Linked DNA regions of Drosophila melanogaster. The protein of the gene in region 1 purifies or fractionates together with the protein of each later gene. This does not show direct contact. Each region holds a gene or a part of one and is shown in the gene's direction. Other genes may lie near its edges.

Evidence for each region.
Region 2: the proteins of Sec3 (region 1) and Sec6 fractionate together in Drosophila melanogaster (co-fractionation; one study listed by BioGRID). This does not show direct contact.
Region 3: the proteins of Sec3 (region 1) and Sec5 purify together in Drosophila melanogaster (affinity purification with western blotting; one study listed by BioGRID). This does not show direct contact.

Annotation. Positions count from the first base shown.
Region 1 is NT_037436.4:17,420,946-17,428,096, reverse strand, and holds Sec3 (secretory 3), read left to right. Parts: upstream 1-2,879; 5' UTR 2,880-2,997; coding exon 2,998-3,651; intron 3,652-3,709; coding exon 3,710-3,937; intron 3,938-3,995; coding exon 3,996-4,445; intron 4,446-4,517; coding exon 4,518-4,999; intron 5,000-5,055; coding exon 5,056-5,563; intron 5,564-5,641; coding exon 5,642-5,989; 3' UTR 5,990-6,310; downstream 6,311-7,151. Other genes in the region: Gorab (Golgin, RAB6 interacting), read left to right, coding at 1-235, 293-509; Polr3G (RNA polymerase III subunit G), read left to right, coding at 1,028-1,171, 1,241-1,369, 1,427-1,789; COX7B (cytochrome c oxidase subunit 7B), read right to left, coding at 1,902-1,958, 2,018-2,187, 2,457-2,502. UniProt on the Drosophila melanogaster protein: Component of the exocyst complex involved in the docking of exocytic vesicles with fusion sites on the plasma membrane.
Region 2 is NT_033778.4:18,623,329-18,629,093, forward strand, and holds Sec6 (secretory 6), read left to right. Parts: upstream 1-1,920; 5' UTR 1,921-2,014; coding exon 2,015-2,986; intron 2,987-3,051; coding exon 3,052-4,296; 3' UTR 4,297-4,390; downstream 4,391-5,765. Other genes in the region: Atg7 (Autophagy-related 7), read right to left, coding at 1-249, 311-455, 587-799, 857-1,378, 1,435-1,631; Cth (cystathionine gamma-lyase), read left to right, coding at 4,667-5,765. UniProt on the Drosophila melanogaster protein: Component of the exocyst complex involved in the docking of exocytic vesicles with fusion sites on the plasma membrane.
Region 3 is NT_033779.5:3,455,749-3,462,155, forward strand, and holds Sec5 (secretory 5), read left to right. Parts: upstream 1-1,553; 5' UTR 1,554-1,657; coding exon 1,658-1,766; intron 1,767-1,836; coding exon 1,837-2,451; intron 2,452-2,505; coding exon 2,506-4,327; intron 4,328-4,384; coding exon 4,385-4,523; 3' UTR 4,524-4,619; downstream 4,620-6,407. Other genes in the region: Cog3 (component of oligomeric golgi complex 3), read right to left, coding at 9-496, 554-1,066, 1,123-1,287; CG3246 (uncharacterized protein), read right to left, coding at 4,646-5,632, 5,690-5,958, 6,022-6,103. UniProt on the Drosophila melanogaster protein: Component of the exocyst complex involved in the docking of exocytic vesicles with fusion sites on the plasma membrane.

The DNA of each region.
Region 1 (7,151 bases):
GCATCTCGCTGAAGGACTTCGAACAGCATCGCCGCATGATCGAGGAGCAGAACAAGCAGAAGAAGCAAATGCTGTACCAGGCCATCGAGCAGCACACCCAGAAGACGGCGGCGGAGTCGCGAAAGATCGAGGAGATCCGCCACGAGCTGTCCAAGCTGGAAAGTGATCTGGCCGTGGACGTAGCTCTGCTGAGGAAGCAGATCGACAATGCCTGCATACATTTTGCCAATGTAGAGTAAGTGGCGAAGCCAAATACTTGTGTGTTTCCCTTATTAATATTTATGTTACACAGAAAACAATACGTCAAAATCGAGGCTCAGTTCTTGCGGGCCAAGATAGAGCTGCACAATGCATCCGAAAAGAAGGAGCTGCTCACAGAGCATCTATGCACAGTAATTGCCCACAACGAGGACCGTAAAGCGCAAAAGCTTACTGAATTGATGCAGAAAGTGGGTCTGTCGCCAACCGATGATTGCCAACCGATTGATTTAACTCAACAAAGCCCCTAAACACGTAACACGTGTAAATTCAACTTCAAATCATCTTTAATTCGAATTTTCAGCGGTGTTTGCTTAACTTGACCAAAAGTATCAATTTGTTGCTCCCTGAAATATTATATTTTTTAAATTGGAAAATTATGTACTAATTTTCCATCGGCTATATTGTATTGGAATTGTAAACATAAAACACGCCTGAAATATGTCGAATGCGCTCTAATATTAGCATGTAATTAATGTTCATAGCCTAAGTGATGAAGTGCAAATTGCAAATAAAATATGTATATGTTATGTGTAAAATTAAAGTGTAATTACTGAAACTGAGTAGTTGGAACTGCGACCTAAATAAAAATAAGGGTATTAAAAAGCGAACATTCTTCAATAATGTTATTGTTTGGCTTTGACTATGTGGCAACACCGTTAGCTGCGGCAACAGCTGATCGTTTTCAGAGTTTAATAAACGTGCAAGCTGAACAATACAATCGGAAATAAGTGTTTCTAAACAGAATACAATAAATTAAGCATTTATAATGGCAGGCCGCGGAAGGGGCGGCAAGACAGGCACCCTCACGGCGGAGCAAATGGCCATGTTGGGATGCACAAAGGATATGCCGGTGCAGACGGCGCCGCCACCTACATTTCCGCCTGTTTTGAACAGACCCACTACCCTAGAAGTGGGTACAAATCCATTTACATTAGTTTAAAAAACATCGATCAACTTTTTACCTGTTTTACTTCGATAGACAACAGCCACACAGAACTATCAGCTCCTGTGGAAGGAGGACTTTCTGAACCGAATGCGAGATTCCCCCTATTACATGATCTCCGCCAGTCGGGACGCAAAAAACCTTGATCACAAGGACTGGCGAGAAGTAATAATACTGGCTATTTTAAATTAGCTGCTTATAATCCTGCTTTTACACCCCCAGAAAGCCATGGAGCGCATGAAGCTCACAGCACAACCCGATTTTAACTACAAAGCCATGCCCCAAGAGCTAAACATCTCCAGTCGAAAACGTCGTGGAGCAGATGCAAGGCCGAATCTGCTGACCAAGAAGACAAACATCGAGGACAGACTGAAGGTTCTGGAGCAGAAAGAACTGAAATCAGGTGGCGGTGAGCAGGACGAGAACAAACAAGAGTCCGATTCCGAACAGGAGGAGGAGGAAGATCCGGAGGCGGCGTTGGATGATGAGATGGACGAGGACAACGACTACGGTGCAACGTACTTTGATAATGGAGAAGCCTTCAATGATGAGGACGACAACTTGGACGATGGTCCCGTTTACTGAGACAAATAAAACCATCGAACTGATTACTTTCGGATCTGTGATTTACTATGTCGCCACTTTAAGCTTATTTAACACAAATGTTGGATTAATTTACACGTAAGGGAACGCTGGCTTAGTCCAGGCTCTTGGGCGCGTAGTAGTTGAAGTGGATGATACCAGAAGATTTCACCTGCAAAGCGTATTTCAATAAGACCGATATGGGATGGAAGGAATATGGCAGCCACTTACGAATCCAATAGTGCCGGCCAGGACGAGAATGCCAGTGATGAGCGCGGCATTGTACTTGGCGTTCTTCTGGCTGTGCTGCTCCTTCCAGTCTCCAGCGGGCACGGGCAGATCGTTCATGGTGGAGTGGGGACCATGTCCACCGTGGTAAGCGGCACGCGACAAAGCGCCAGCTGAAATGAGAGAACAAGAAAGAATATTCAAGTGATTGGTTTTAAAAAGGGGGTAATCCCAACGAAATGCAACTTGGTTAATGATCTCATCCAAGTTTCTTCCGATATCTGTTTGGCTAATTCTGATAATATCCATGGCTATGCTGAAGATTGGTGGGTGAACCATTCCTTCGCAGTTCCTTGAAGTTTCTCCCTTTGCTTATCCACATTATGTAATTTTTAAGGTTAGCAGTTTTGCTGAAAAGAGGTGTTGGGCCACTCCAACTCACCGTTCTTGAGCAGAAGCCCCTGCTTGACAATGTGCTTAACCAACATGATTGCTCGAAAGTAGCTGGAAATGGGTAAATATGGGTTTATTTTCACTGCCAATACTTTTTCGCATTATAACTCACCCGAAGATTACCTTGTGTTGAACAGTGTGACCGTTGTGTTGTTATAGAATAATATCTACCCTACAGTTGGGATGAGATCACGAGCTGCATACTTGTTATTACCTACGATGCGATGAAACCTTCAATGTATCTATTATACTGAAATGTTTAAATAACAATATGATTTAATACATTTTAATTGGTTTCTGTAGTCTTAGCATATTTTTGCTATGTGACTTTTAACCACGTAAAGAACACTCACGCAATGCGCTCATCCCCAACCGATAGTCTGTAAACGCCTCTGCAGAAGCTCTGTTAAATCAGCTGTTGGTGCGGAGGCGTTCTCCAATTGCTAATTGCAAGTGCAAACAACTGGCCAGTTGTTGATTCTTGAAAGGACTTTATTCGAGACCAGTGCATCCCGAAGATATACCCAGCCATGCTGTCCATTGGCGCTATGGCCAACATCAAGCACACGCTGCAGAAGGAACTCTTCTTGGCCTCCGGAGAACGCCTCCTTTCTGTGGTGACGGTGGTCAAGAAGAAGGACAAGAAGCCGTGCTACCTTTGCGTTGTCACCACGGCGCCACCGGTACCCGTGGTCACTTTGTGCCTGATCAAACAGTCGGAGCAGCGCGAGGGCGAATACAAGCGCAAGCGGAGCTGGCAGCTGGACGAGATTAAGTGGGTTGACGGCCGGAACGAGCAGTTCGAGACGCACGAGTTCGATCTGCAGTTGGAAAAGCTGTACAAATGGTACGCCCTTAACCCTCACGAGCGCCAAAACTTTCTGGCCGTGCTCAATCGCCAAATCCAAAAAAGCGTGCGTGGCCAGCGGGCGGAATTCCGGAATGTGCCCGCAGCGTGGTTGTCGGAGAAGTCGCCGGAAAAGGTGGCATTGGGCAGAGCGGTTCAGAAGACGCAACACATGGACGACGAGGAGGACGAAGAGGAGGAGGCCCAGGAGTTTACCGCTCTGACGGACAAAGAGGCCAATGAGCTGGGCAAACTTTTCTCCGAGTGCGACTTCGCCATTAAAGATGCTGAGCAGTTCATAGAGCAGCTGTCGCGTGAGCTCCACGATTTGGATGGGGTTAGTAAATTGGGCTTGTCCACCGTGTATACATTACTCATAATTTCTTATCTCGCAGGCCAATATGCAAAGTGTACTTGCCTCGGAACAGAAGGTTCTGAAAATGATGGAACACATCGACAATGCTATCTCCGAGGCGGATAAGTTTGAAAACCGTCTTGATAGCTACGAGGACATTCTGGGGCATGTCAAGGAAACCATGGAGAAAATTGGAGGCAAAAATGCCATGATCGAAATTGCCAACAATAACAATATCAAGCTTATGAAGGAGCTCAACAAAGTCATAGTGCGTATTCTTAGTGTACTCAATTTTATACTGTTTAATAATTCTGCTACTTCTGCAGAGTCAACTGGATCTGCCGCACAGCCAGCAGCAGGCTCTGGATGAACCCGATTTAAAGACCGCCAATGGACGCAAAGCAGCCATTGCAGCTGCTCAGTGCCTGCAACAGGCAATGAACAGCGATATAGATCCTGCTCTGCTGCGTTTGGAGGCGGTGCAGGACCAACGCAAGCGCTTTGAAAAGTGGAAACAAAAATTCTCTGCCACGGTCAGTCGGTTTATGAACAACCTCTTCATCCACCTGGGCAATGAAATAGGAGACATGCAGGTGACTAGCACTGAACTTACGCTGCCTAACCATTCCAACGTCCATCGGGAACTGACGCCTTATACTGAGCTGATGCACTGGACAAAAGCCATGGATCGGAAGACCTACGATGGTCTAATGCGTGTGTACACAGCATCGCTGAGCAAGATCTATGACAGGGATGTGAGGAACTTCTTCAATTTGGTAAGACATGAACATGGAAATGTAATAGTTTGTAATCTAAGCTAATCTCGATCACTTCTGATTATTTTATAGGCTAAAATTCAGGTGACGGAAAAGCTTCGTAATTCTCGGGAGGATCTGGACATGTCTACGTCTTCAAGAAAGTCCGCAGTTTCCACAATACCTTATGGCACACTGGGAATCAACAGGGATCAGTGGGGTCCCGGTGTAGAGACAGCGGATCGAATGCGTTTTGATGCATTGTTGGAAAAGGTTCTAGCTGAGCTGGAACCCATCGCCCTGCAGGAACAGCTTTTCTGCATCAACTTTTTTCAGATGGACGTTATTAGTCCAACGACAAAGAACACACAGACTACGTTGGAGATGGAAAAGGCGGTGGATATGACACAGTCAATCATATCAGGAGCGGTTTCGCCATCAGGTGATGGTGTTCCGCAGAAGCGGATTGACCGTCAAATTAACGAAGATGTGCGTAAACTGATGATGGGCCTTTTCGGTTGCCTAGAACCAGAGCTAGTTAGCTTCATCCAGAGCTTTGAGCGTGTAGACAGCTTGTAAGTAAACAATATAGTAATGGAGTAAGGAGTAATTAACAAATTTGTTTTCGTAGCTACTCTCTGTACGTTTTTGTGCGACTTACGCAGCACGTCATGTCCGCCCAGGACACACATTCCTTTCTTAGCATGACCTTCGCTTCCGCCTTGGTGCAGGTGAAGCGGAGCTTCGACCGCTTTATGCAGAACCAACTACTGTCTATCCGGGAGGCAAAGCTGCACAAACGTTCTAAGGCCATTCTGCCGTATGTGGAAAACTTTGAAAACTTTGCCCAAACTGCAGAGGGCATATTTCGGAAATCGGATCGCCGAACGGACATGGAGAAGTGGTACTTGCAGCTGGTGAATGCCATATTTGAGGGCATCCAACTGCATTCGCAGGAGCACCCCAAGACACCAGTTCAGGTAGTGCGCATGGAGAACTACCACCACATGTACGCTTTGTTAGCCCAGCTCAAGGTTCCTGGTCTGGACGCCCTGAAAAAGGAGGCCAAGAAGTGTTATAACGATGCGCTAAAAGCGTATGTGACTCAGTACTTCGGCCGGCCGCTGGAGAAACTGAATGTAAGCCAAAGTCAATGACCTTCCAGAAGAAAAGATAAGTCGATCTTCATCTCATAAATTTCCGTTCTGCCTTTGCAGCAATTCTTCGAAGGCGTGCAACTTAAGGTGGCCCAGGGAGTCAAGGAAACGGAAATCAGCTACCAGATGGCATTCTCCAAGCAGGAACTCCGCAAGGTGATCGCTCAGTATCCTGCACGAGAGGTGAAGAAAGGACTGGAGAACCTATATAAGAAGGTGGAAAAGCACCTGAGCGAGGAGGAGAATCTGCTGCAAGTGGTATGGCATGCCATGCAGGAGGAGTTCATTGCCCAGTATAATTACCTGGAGGAGCGCATCCAAAAGTGCTACGCCGGCGCCATGATCAACCTGGAGTTCAACATTCAGGACATACTCGCCTTCTTCTCGGACATAGCGCGCTCCCACTGATCTAGGGATTGGAATCTGAAAGTCAGGGAGCGGTTCAACCGGGTTTTATTTTTAAGTGCAATAGTATTTAAAGCGCTGTTTCTGCTGATTGCAAAATATATGGCGCGTATATTTAAACAGATGTGGATCTGCGAATGTTCGAAACGTCCAAGAGAGAGGGATCGCGTAGTGAAAAATCAACGAGACTAGGCCTTAAAGGGAACTTTTCAACAGCTAGCCATTGAAGTTGATTATTGTATAAGTTCTAAGCTAAAATTACATAGCCAATACTCAACTTTTGTCCAAGAATGCGAGTAAACTAAATTTTATATATAAAAATGTAGAATTTCTAGAGATCTTACTTGATCTTTAGTACGTCAGCTTTTAAAAATCACAGATAGAAGTTTGACTTTTTGTATTTATACTTTTATAGTATAACTCTAATTTACTACCGTGCACATTCAAACAGCCTCCTAAGGTCAAAGAGAGCTCTTCAAGATCAAAAGAGATAGATCATAGCCTAAAGAGAGAGAGAGAGAGAGAGAGTGCTCGAAGAGTGAGCTTTCCGGGGTGGCTTTTCGTTCGCCAGCCGTTGGAGTTCGGGCTGGTGCTCCCAGTCAAGCCGCGCGACTCTTTCGCATCGGTTGTCGCCTGTCCGCGTGATTTACCCAACTGCAGTATAAGCATTTTATTTCGTGTATTTTAAATTGTTCTAGCCGTACGTGTTTCCGTGTGTGCTCATGTGCCGTGTTGATAACTCCGTGAAATGCAAATGGTAATTGCAAATGGCAAATGGCAAACGGAAAATGGAAGAAGCCGCAACGACTTGCGACTGAATGTGGTGCATATTTTATGAAGCTCCGACAGGGAGAACAAAAAGTTAGACTACCGCCGAACCGATCCGATCCGAACTGATCCTCCCTCCTGTCTGGGCTGTCCCATAAACATGGCCACCATAGCGACCCGTCCGACCAGTTTCGTGCTGTTGTGCGGTTGTCGCTCCTGACTCGGTTCTCCCTACCTTCCCGTGACCCCCATCCCCATCCCCGTCTACATTCCCATTCCCATCTCCTCCAGCCGTTCCATTCCTTAGCTTACCTTAGCCTGTCTTGCCCTCCGCCTTGCATTTCTCATGCACACACGTTGCCCGCTTTTTGTGCTTTTCGTGCGCTCCCGTGCTCAT
Region 2 (5,765 bases), on another chromosome or scaffold:
AACCTTCAAATGCTCCTTCGTCTGGGCTAGAAGCGATTCTCCAATAGTATGCCCAGGCATGGGAATCTCCAGCACATAACCCGCCGTTTCCGCAGACGGATTGATCTCTTTCAATCTCTGAGCAGCTGTAGTCGCCTTCATCCGATTGCCTGCCACAGCATCTGCATGCGTGTAGAGATTCTGACGCACTGGATTAGAGAACCCAACCTTGCCGCTGTCCAAAAGGGTTATGTGCTTAAATCCCCAGGACTACAAAATAAATAAACTATTAGTTATCAGATCAGTTAAATCATTTCGTATAAAAGCACACCAGCAGATTTCTAGCTACAGCGCATCCTAAAGTACCAGCTCCAAAGAGCAGGCATTTTGTTTGGGAGATGATTTCGAGATTGAGATCGGGAACAAGGCGCCACTTCATTAGTTTCAGGTTCAGGTTTACAGAGTTCTCAGCGAGTCTACGGAAAGAAATATTGTTAAATTATAAATAATAAACAAGTTACTTTCAACTGTCGTGGTAGCTAACACTAAGGACACACCTCAATGAACTGATAGTTCTTATCATTTAAGTCTATAGCTATTAACTTACTTGGCTGGATCCATGCTGTCCCTCATGCACACCATTCTTGGCCCCATTTTGCCATTTTTATTTAGCTCCCAGCCCACGAACTTTATATTTTCGCTTTGGCTAAGATCGCAAGCTTCAGTCTGAATCACCTTCCATACAAGGCTGTCATCGATGTTCATTTGTTGATTGTGTCGCAGGCCAAGAAACTTCAATGGTTTTCCAACAAAAGAGGGACTGTAATAGACCGACAACTGTGTGAACTGATATCATAACATTGCTATTCCTACCTACCATTGCTGAAGCAGAAAGGCAGCATAGTTTCGCATTATCCAAGCTGGATGCTCATACTCGCTGGGATCAGCAAAACCAAAATAACAGAACTCAACATTTTTATCGTCAAGGGAACTTAAACTACGGGCTTCGAAAATGTTCTTCTCCACATTAGCATACAGAATGAAGAAGTTCTGTGACTCAGTGGGTAAGGCCTTTAGAGCCATTATATAGCTACTACTATTGGGCAAGTCCCGCAGTTTTTGGACGGCTCCCTGAAGCTTTAAGGTGGGCGTCAGCGGGCACGGAAAGGCGAACCAATAGTAGTAGCTGTGACACTTTAAATCGGCAAAGGAGAGAACAAAGAACCGGGTCAATAGACTGGGATCTCTCAAGGCGCCACCACTGCACATATCAGCCAGCAGTTCCTTGCCCTCATCGGCCAGCAGTTGTAATTTGTCCAGGGCCTTGAACTCTTCGATTGTGTTCTTATTGTAGATGGTGCCTATAGCGGAATGGCTGAATTTTGGAGGCTTTGCCATTCTGGAATGTGGGTGGTCAAGCGCTGGTTTCATCAAACTCGTAGTTTTCAAGCTCACCTGTTGTAGGCCGTGTAGTCTACTTCCAAAAGGCATCCACTTGCATTACGATTTGTGTAGTGTCCAGTAATGGAGCGTTTCGAGTCGGACAGGCGATCGTGGTCGAGCTTAAGCTCCGCTAGCTTGTGCCAGAAAGTGGGCGACACAAAAGATTCCCACGGAGCAAATTGCAAAATTATCTCTTTTTCCGTGCTCATGTTTTGCTTAGGGCGTTGTTTACGTTCAAACGTTTGGCTGCAAATTATAAACAAACAAAGCTCTCGATGGCGATAGACCAATGAGAAGATAACTTATCGATAAGTACAGTTTTCCATACTTAGGTCGAATCCTCTGTTGCTTTGGCAAACTAAAAGATATACTTTAACTTCATAATTTTTTAAGCTTGAAGAATAAAATAAAAATTTTAAGACACAATAAAACTATAATAATTTTAAGAGTAGAATATAGCTTATTGTCAAGTTACACTGTAGTTCTTGGAAGTGAGATTGTCAGCCGCACTGCTATATGGTCACACCAGCACTTCCACTGCTGACGAAGATTGACCAAAACAGAGACTGAAAGTGATCCAAATAAATTGAAGATGGATTTACAGCAGCTGGAGGAGCAGGCTCGCCAGGCAGCGCTCAAGGACATACAGAACATGTTGCAGCGACCAGGTCAACTGGAGAAGGTGGAACAATATCGCCACCGAATCGCCCGGAAGAAGGCATCCGTTGAGGCGCTCCTTAAGACCGGAATGCAAGGACAGCTGGACGGGGTCAGGGTGGGACTTAAGCAGTTGGAGACCTGCATGCAGGACGTGCGCGAGGTAAGGCGTCGAATGGACGAGGTGGAGCGCCTGCTGAGGGGCGTTCCCGAAGTCTACGACGCTTTGGAAGTTGTGCGGGAGGAAAACACAAAGCACTCCCAGTACGCCACCGCCATGGAGAATCTGAAGCACATCTTCAACGTAGATGCCAGCGTACAAAAGACGATGGCGCTGATCGAGGATGATAAGCTGCTTAATGCCCATCAGTGCCTGGCGGATCTGGAGAATTCGCGGGATGATCTTCTCTACGAACTGCACAAGCAGCCCAAGCAGCATGCGTCCGACAAGATCACCCTAAAGCGTCACTTCGAGAAGGTTGACACGGTATCCCAAGAGCTGGAGAAAAAGCTGCGACTCATTCTTAGCCGCACGCTGAACACTCTGCGCAAGAAGCCCACCATCATCGTTACCGCCCTACGCATCATAGAGCGGGAAGAGAAAAACGACCAGTTCGCGTTGCAGCAGCAAAAGGTCACAGGATTCCTGCCGCCTGGAAGACCAAAGGCTTGGCGCCGCATGATCATGGACGTGCTACAACAGTCGGTGATAACGCGCATAGAGGGATCCAAGCTAGAGGAGCGGGCCGATAACAAGATGTGGTTAGTACGAGACCTGGAGATATTGCGTCAAATCATTCTCGAGGATCTGCGCGTTGTGAAGTCCCTTTGTGTGCCCTGCTTCCCGCCGCACTACGACATTTTCGGCGAATATGTCAAGTTCTATCACGAAGGACTTTCTAGCTATGTGAGTAATCGTCAATCATTTAAATTGATTAATGTTTTTATACCACTAATATTTACTAATTCCAGCTTGACAACATTGTGCGCTCGGGCTTGGAGGGCAATGAATATGTATCAATGATGGCTTGGGTTACACACACCTATCCTGGCGTCGAGCTGATGTCCCATCCGGATCTTAATGTGGATGTACACCGACAGATAGGTACTCTGCTGCGTCCGGAACATCTCAAAGCGCTGGAAGATGAATATCTGCAAAATATGCAGAGAAACTTCCAGGAATGGATGACCAAGGCCGCAGAAACGGAGAAGCAGGAGTGGTTTACTGAGACGGTGCCCGATCAGGATGAGGAGTACTACCACACTTCAGCGCCTGTCATCATATTCCAGATGATCGACCAGCATCTGCAGGTGACCAACACAATTCATCAGGAACTGACGTTCAAGGCGTTGGTAATGAGCATTCAGCAGGTGGAGATCTTTGGCCAGACATATCTTAAGAACGTAATCGAGCTGAAGGAACACCATTTTCGCAATCGGGACCAGATCAAATACTTCACTCACTACATCATCACCATCGTGAATAACAGTCAGCAAATGGTTGAACTGGCGCAGCAGATGAAACAACTCTACTGGCCCAAGTCACGTACTGAGCATTATGAGGATTTCGAACGTTTGCTTGCCACATTCCAGCGGATCCGGGCTCATGCCGCAAGTTACTTGCTGGAGGAAGCCTTCCTGGACATGGAGTGTCACTTTAACGACCTATTCACTGCCAAGTGGCTGGCCAGTAACATTGCCGTGGACACCATTTGTGTAACGCTGGACGATTACTTCCAGGACTATAATCACCTGCGACCCAATAACTTCGAGATGGTCATCAACGAGGCCCAGAAGCTGCTGGCCAAGCGCTACATTAGGGCACTGCTATCCAAGCGACTGTCTAAGCCACGGGCCGAGTGCGATGCCATTACGCGAAAAATCAAGACCGAAGCCAAGCGGTTTAAGCTCTTCTTTGAGAAAATCGCGCCGAAGATTTCCCTCAGCGACTCTCCATTGGATCTTATATCCACGCTATCGGCACTGCTTAGCTCGGATATCGAACTGCTCGTCTTGGACCTGCACACCTTGCTGGGCAGCTATCCGTCTCTGAACGAGGACCACCTGGTACGGCTCTTTTACATTCGCAACGATGTGAAGGCGGCCGAGGTGCGCGAGAAGGTGCAGGATGCCATGAAGTCGAAGAAGGCAATGGTCAGCATCGCCAAGCAGGATTGCATCTTCAAGGAGATCGTGTTCAGCGACAAACTGTGGTAGACCTTGGAGTATAGTTCCCAACCCATTCCGCATGTCCCTTTCTGTTCAGTATCGTATTTACTCTTAAGCTGCGATTGTAATATTATTGTGCTTTATCAACAAATAAATTATTGTATAAATAATCGAAGAAGTTCTAAGGAAAGTAAGAATATCCATCGTTTCAATGCATATATGTATCGTTACTTTTGAAGGGTTCCGTTTTCTAGCCGTTTAATAGCTAGAGCTCCATCACTGTCGGCGAATGTAGTGTTGTAACGGTCGAAATATTTAATTACCGGCTAGGCGATAACATCTGGCAGGAGTATATATATTCGCGACGGTCTCTCTCCACGTGTCAGTCAGTTCCCAACGATCCTCCTACCCAGACAAGATGAGCTACAGAGTCCAGCCGAGCGGCTTCGCCACCAAGTCCATCCACTCGGGCCAGAGCCCCGACCAGTGGAAGAGTGCTGCCGTGATTCCGCCGATATCGCTGAGCACCACCTTCAAGCAAGATGCACCGGGCGAGCACAGGGGCTATGAGTACTCCCGCAGTGGAAATCCCACTAGGAACGTGCTGGAGACGTGCTTCGCCGCCTTGGATAATGCCAAATACGGCCTCACGTTCTCATCGGGATTGGGAGCCACCACCGCTGTGCTAACTATGCTGAGCAGCGGCGATCACATCATCATGGGCGACGATGTTTACGGAGGCACCAACCGTTTGATCCGACAGGTTGCCACCCGTCTGGGAATCTCAGCCACCTTTGTGGATCCCACGAAGTTGGATCTAATTAAAAGTTCCATCAAGCCGGAGACCAAGTTGGTGTGGATCGAGTCACCAACTAATCCATTGGTAAAGGTAGCCGACATCGAGGCTATTGCGCAGCTGGTCCATGGAGTACGCGAGGATATCGTCCTGGCCGTCGACAACACCTTCCTGACCTCCTACTTCCAGCGACCCTTGGAGCTGGGCGCTGATCTGGTCTGCTACTCCCTGACCAAGTACATGAACGGTCATACGGATGTGGTCATGGGTGGCATCACCATGAACTCGGAGAAGCTCTACAAAAGCTTGAAGTTCCTGCAGAACGCAGTGGGCATTGTGCCGTCTCCATTCGACTGCTATCAGGTGAACAGAAGTCTTAAGACGCTCTCGCTGCGCATGGAACAGCACCAGAAGAATGCTCTGAAGGTTGCCAAATACCTGGAGACGAATCCGTTCGTGGAGAAGGTGTTGCATCCCTCTTTGCCCTCCCATCCGCAGCACAAGATCGCTCTGAAGCAGGCATACGGATACAGCGGCGTGTTCTCCTTCTACATTAAGGGCGAGCTGAAGCACTCCTCGGCTTTCCTCAAGGCCCTCAAGGTGTTCACCCTGGCAGAGAGTCTGGGTGGCTACGAGAGTCTGGCCGAGCTTCCATCAATAATGACCCATGCCTCGGTTCCAGCGGAGGATAGGAAAACTTTGGGCATCACTGACGGTCTAG
Region 3 (6,407 bases), on another chromosome or scaffold:
AGTATTACGTCAGGTGTGGCGCTCCTGTGCTGAAGAACTGGTAGAACAAACGCTGTTCGTCCTGGCAAACATGCACCAAAAAGGCGCAGGCGCTTCGGGTGAGAGAGCAGTGATCCCCTTTGTGGGCCACCTTAACGTTTTGTATGGACAGATTCACTGCTGGCGACATAACGCTGGCTCTTTGCGCCAAGTAGTGCTGTTGAAGATCCGCCATTAGTTGGGCGTAGTCGAGGCTGTGTTCCGACCGGGACTCAATCAACTGGGCGACCCGCTTCACTTTTGCCGCGGCCGTTTGATATTTGCCGTAGTACAGAGCGAATGCGGCATCTGGTGCCTTGAGAGCAGCGGAGGCATCCGGCATATTGTTCTTGGGATGGAGCGTGGCCTCGGTTGCCTGGTTTATCACACTCGTCACATAGTTACGCACCAGACCCGAGGCTTTGGCCAGGCACTGCCTGTACTTCACATTGTAGGCGGCCGCATCCTTGAATTTGGGCTGTGACAATGAAGGATATTAGTATATACATGACCGAAGTGTAACAGACAAGCTCACATTCTCCTCGATGTAGTTTAGGCATTCGTCGATCTTGTTGAGGCACTCCCGGAACGCTTCGCTAGCCACCGAAAGCGTGGGGCTCTGAAGTCGTTGGTTGAGCAACTCCACCTGGCTGAAGTAGTGCAGACGGCGTTGAATCTCGTGACTCAGCTCCTGCAGTCGCTCCTGCTCCTCGATCAACTGCTCGCTGGCCGTGTTCAGAGCGCTGGTCTTTTGCGACACAAAGTCGTACTCGTCGCAGAGGGCACCCAGGCGCTCCATGGCCCCAGCGATCTGGTCCAGCATGTGGGAGCACTCCGCTTTGCGCTGCTCCAGCTGCTGCAGGTATTTGTGGTAGTCGGCATCGCCACGTTGCTCGATCTCGGCGCTGACGTCCGCGAACCAAAGCAGAAACTCATTGGTGTTCTGGAGTCCCTCCGCAGGTAGTCTGATGTCATCGCCGCTTTGCGAAGTTGCAGCTGCCGATGAATCGGTAGGACCCACCTGGGTGGGCGTAGTCGGTGCCGGTGCCTACAAAGAGTCGGGTTGCAATTATACGATTGCCATTCGAGGAGGAGTCGACTCACCGATGGTCCGCTGTCGCGCCACAGATTGGTCAGGACGTCCAGGTGCTCCTCTTGCTGGATACTCAGAGCCGCCAGCGGGTCCGTTTTGGACTCCCATTGCATCAGGCGATTGCGAATCTTGCGCAAATTCTCATTCTCGCTCTGAATTCGTTCGACGTCATCCATTTTTCTGCGGCGGATTTGGAAACAATCAATCAGCTGTTCAGAGATGACCGGTCTGCGCCTTCCAGTGCTGCTCAGCAAGGAGACTTAGCTAGAACTAAAACTCTTGATTGATATAAGTTGCCTTTATTTGAATGGTATCATATGTTAAGTAATCTTTAATTTTAGATTTAATACATTTTAAGCTCTTTTTATGCTCGTCCGTTTCTTACATAAGTTTTATATTAAATATCTGTCTGTTTAGCTTGGCGATTACTTAGCCAAGATTTCACCACTGACGGGACGTTTTCCATCACTGGCAGCATCAATAAAGTTCTGTTCTCTATTGTTTTTATTGCATTTTGATCAGTTTTTCCGCATCATATAGCATACGATGGCGCCGCAGCCAGTGGTTACGGGGCTATCTCCGAAGGAGGGTCCTCCTGGCACCCGCGTTATCATTCGCGGCGAGTTCCTGGGCACCCGAGTGCAAGATCTAATTGGTAGGCGTAGCCTGTCCCAAATAGCTTCTGTTTTCTGATGACTTTCCCTTCCAAAAAAAAAAAATGTAAGGTCTAAAAATCTGCGGTTCAGATTGTCTGCTGTCGGCGGAGTGGAAATCACCCAATAAAATCATCGCACGCACTGGTCCGGCGAAGGGAAAAGGCGATATCATAGTGACCACTTTAAGCGGCGGAGTGGGCACGTCCACGGTTCAGTTTCGTGCATACCACGAGACCATTGGCCCGCTCAAGGAGTCCGCCGTGTGGATCGAGGAGTCGCCCTCGCAGAATTTTGCCTGGGGTCGGCGCACCCTAGCCCAATCCGGACTGACGCAGGAGGATCCACTTGGGCTGTCCATCGAGGGTAACGAGCAGAAGATCCCCGAGGACCTCCGCGATCTCTTTCCCGAAGCCTGCGGGGATCTGTCGCAGGAGCACTTCTCCCCGGCCTGGTTCCTGCTTGAAAATCACCTGGCCACCTCCTTCGAGGATCTCAAGGCGGGCCTGTCCTACTTGAAGCGGAAAGTGGAGAGCCAGAAGGAAGGTCAGTTGTCCTTCCTCAAGTCCAATGCAGGCTCGGTGATTGACCAGCTCGATACGCTGATGAACATCCGAGACAAGCTGCAGGAGGATGTCAAGCTACACGGCAATGAGACCCTAAATATCTTGGAAACATCCATAGAGAGTGAGTGGGGTTTATAGATTAAGATATTTAATTCTAAAATTGTTCGACTTATAGACTCCATTAGCGAATCGCAAAAGATATTCACGGATGTGCTGGTGCGCAAAGAGAAGGCGGATTCCACGCGGTCCGTTCTGTTCGCCCTGTCGCGGCACAAGTTCCTCTTCTGTCTGCCCAATTCGGTGGACAGACGTGCCAAGGCGGGTGAATATGACATTGTGGTTAACGACTACTCGCGCGCCAAGAACCTCTTTGGCAAGACGGAGATTCCCATTTTCCGCAAGGTGCTCGAGGAGGTCGACCACAGGATTCTGTCAATAAGGAAACAACTGCACGAGAAGGTGGTCAAGATGCCACAGAGCGTGGAGCAACAGAAGAAGCTCATCAAGGCGCTGATCAGTCTGGAACTGCAGCAGAGCGGAACTCCCATTGGCGATAAACTGCGCAACATCGATCCCGCCTGGGATGCCATCGAGGCCAGAGCCAAATATCTGGAGTGGACATTTCGCCAGACATTTGATCAGCACACCAGCAAGGATTCGGGTGCCCAGGAAAAGGCAAAGAACAGGGATTCCAGCCAGGCGCCCAATCGGGTTAACTTCTGCGAAGAACTGTGCGACATTGCCGCCTCCCAGCTGCCGGACTTGTGGCGTCTGGGCCAGCTATACTTCACCGGCGAGCTACGCGGACCTCATGATCCCAAGCCAGGGGATTTCAAGCGAATGGTTTTGAACGCCATCGAGAAGTTCTGTGTCTACTTGAGGTTGGCCATTCTCATTGCCACGGATCAGCGCGCCCTGCGTCAGTCCAGCGGCTTGGCTTGGCCCATCGGCTCCGCATCGGCAACACATCAGTTTCTACCCTGGATTCCGCAGTGCCTGCGTTTCACGAGGATAGCCTATGCCACGCTCATCAGCCTGGATCTGCCCTCGGAAGCGCTGGACATCATACAGAAACTGATCGATGAGGTGCGACTTTTCTGCTTCTCAATTATCTTCAAACGGGCCACGGATCGGTGCAAAAAGCTGGGCAGCCAGGAGACCTGGGAACTGGGCGTGGAGGAATATCCAGGTGCCACATTGTTACCCGCCGCCTTGGAAACATTGCTCATCGAAACGCTGGACGAGGTGCAATCTGTGTGCATGCAAAGGGAGACCCGGGAGGGCAATCTCCTCGAGCCGCAGTCGGATGGACAGAGAGAGGTGACACAGCGACTACAAGAATTCCTATCCGCGTTTAGCGCGGTGATCGAGGAGCTGGCCTTCCACTCCCACGACGAGGAGACGCCCACCCACAATGTGTCGCAGCTACTTGGATTCCCCAATGCCCAGCAGCCAGATTCGGTGGCTGGAAGCGGCGGAGCAGCGGCTGTGACCTGGGAGCAGCGCATGCTCTGTTGCCTGGCCAACTATGCGTACTGCAACAAGATCTTCTTCCCGCGCCTTGGTGACATCTTCGTTCGCTACGGTTACCCGCTGCCCACGCTGGCAATCGAAACTGCTCGCTACACGGTTAACCAGCTCTTTACCAATCTTCTGGAGGAGTACGTCGAGCATAAGGGCGATCCGCTGGTCGGCACCATCGAGCCCTCCATGTATCTGGGTCGTTTCCAGTGGGATCACGAGATGGAGATCGGCCAGCTGCGTCCTTACGCTCACGAGTGCTGCGATAATTTGGTTGGTGTCTACTCCGAGATCTACAGCATTTCACCGGCACTGCTGCGACCCATCCTGGAGTCCATTGTGCAAACCATATCCGAAGAGCTGGCCCGTCTGATGAGCTGTGTCCAGCGCTTTAGCTTCACGGGAGCGATTCAGGCCCACGTGGATATCCGTCTATTGAGGGACTCCCTGGAAGGTTACGTCAATGAGACTGCCAAGTGAGTGATCTAAATGAAATACCTATGAATTTCAATAATTCTTCTAATCTGCAAAAGGAACTACTTCATGGAAGCGCTGGAGGCCATCAATCCGCCCCTGAGTGGCGAGCAGAAGCGTAAGGCGGACGAGATTCTGGAGCGGGTCAAGCGGAACATGCGTCTGCAGCTGCTCTGCTTCAGTGTCAAGGACCCCTAGGCACATTCCACTGCAGGGCGCAGCCCATGTAGATAGCGTATACTTTAAGTAGCTTGTGATTACCCATGTTCTAGGGATAAATCTTTATTCGATTGCATAACTCTCTTACTTACTACCACGACTCACAAGCCCAACAGCTTTGGGTCAAAGTTGAAGTTGTTCTGAGCCATGGTCTTGATGACCTGCTCCACATCGATGGTGTTGAACTTCTCCTGCACACGCTGCTTGATGGGGTTCTCGATGGCGTCCATGATCTGGTAGCGCAGCAGGTTGGGAATGACGTTCACCGCAAACTCCATGACGTAGTCCAGCGTTCCCGCTCCGTCACATCGCACCTGTATGTTGCCCATGTCAAACTGCAGATCGGTGATCTGCGCCCGCTTGCGTGTGTCCAGGGATTGGCTCAGGCCAACGGTGGCGCGTATGTGCTGAACCGTAAATTGTACGTGACCGACGCGTGTCATCATGCCCACACCCACCTCCCACTGGCCGGCTCCCGTCACCTGCTGGGTGCCTATTTGCAGAACGACCGACACCGTTTTGTTGGCCATGCCAGCGGTTATGTTGCCCACGCGGTAGAAGCTAGAGATTCCATTGATCCAGGTGTGTGCTAACTGGACACTGAACACGCCCATGGTGCGATTGACATCAGGCAGGTGGTACGGATCGAAGCCCTTCTGCCGAACCATCTTGCGTGCCATGGCAATGGCGCTGTCCAGCGGCGTTATGGAATTGGGCAGTCGGCGTTCGCCCAAGGTTTTCTGGATCATTACGTTGATCTCGCTGCGCAGCTTTTTGTCCGCCTCCTGGAGCATAAATGGCTTCATGGCGTCGAAGACCAAGTTGGGCGCACCGTTCACCACGCTCTGAAAGACACTGCCCACCAGGCCGAGGTTCTGGAAGTCCATTGTCATGTCCGAGAATGTGATGTCGATCTTGATGCGGTCCGTGGCCAGCTGACCGTCTCGTTCGACGGCCAAGAAGGCGGTTGCCTCGGCATAGACATTCTTCAGGACTACTGTAAAGGGTCCATTGGCTTTCGAAAAGAATGAACTGAGGGTGTACTGGCCCTTGACCAGCATCTGGTCCAGCTGGAGGCCACCGTTGAACTGCAGGACAGAGGAGTGGAAACTTCAAGCCAATTCGAATTCAACTTGAAAACTTACTCTCATTTCCTTCAGGTCTAGGTTCATTTTATCAATGCGGAACTTGGACAAGCCATACGCCTTGACCTGCTTCATGTCCAGATTGGCCATGCCCATGCTCTTCTTCACATTGGGCACCTCCAACGGATCGGGCACGGGCACGCCGGGCAGACCCTGCGGATCCTCCTGCTGAAAGTGCACGAGCATGGCCTCCACCTGGGCGGCTATGCTGGCCTGACTCTCTTTGATCTTAAGTGCGTCATCCGACTCGCTGGCTTCCTGCTCCACAGCTGCTCAAAGGTCATTAATGAGTGGCTTAGTTCCGGTAGAGCTCAGACTGGAATTCGTCTTACCATCGCCAGGCTCCTGGGAGTGAACAATGTGGCAGCCACTTGCCATCAGGCCCACGAGCACGACCACTATCAACGGCTTCATCTTTCGGGGATTAGCTGGAGCTTCTGCTTATCAGTTGGAAAATGGAAGAAAACGCGCCAGCCTCCGTTCTCTACTCGGAACAAACACGCACTGTCGACTGGCGCGTTAATCAAAAGATAATGATGAGCCGCAGGCGGCGATCCGCTTATCTAAGGGCGACTCTGCTCGCGGAGCTGCTGATTAAACTCGGAATTGAGATTGAGTGACTTAAGTGAGCGGAAGCGGCCAGCACATTGTAGGCACTCATGGAACTCACTCCACTCCCAGGAACGATGTTCTAGAAATCATGAACTAGCAGCTTGCA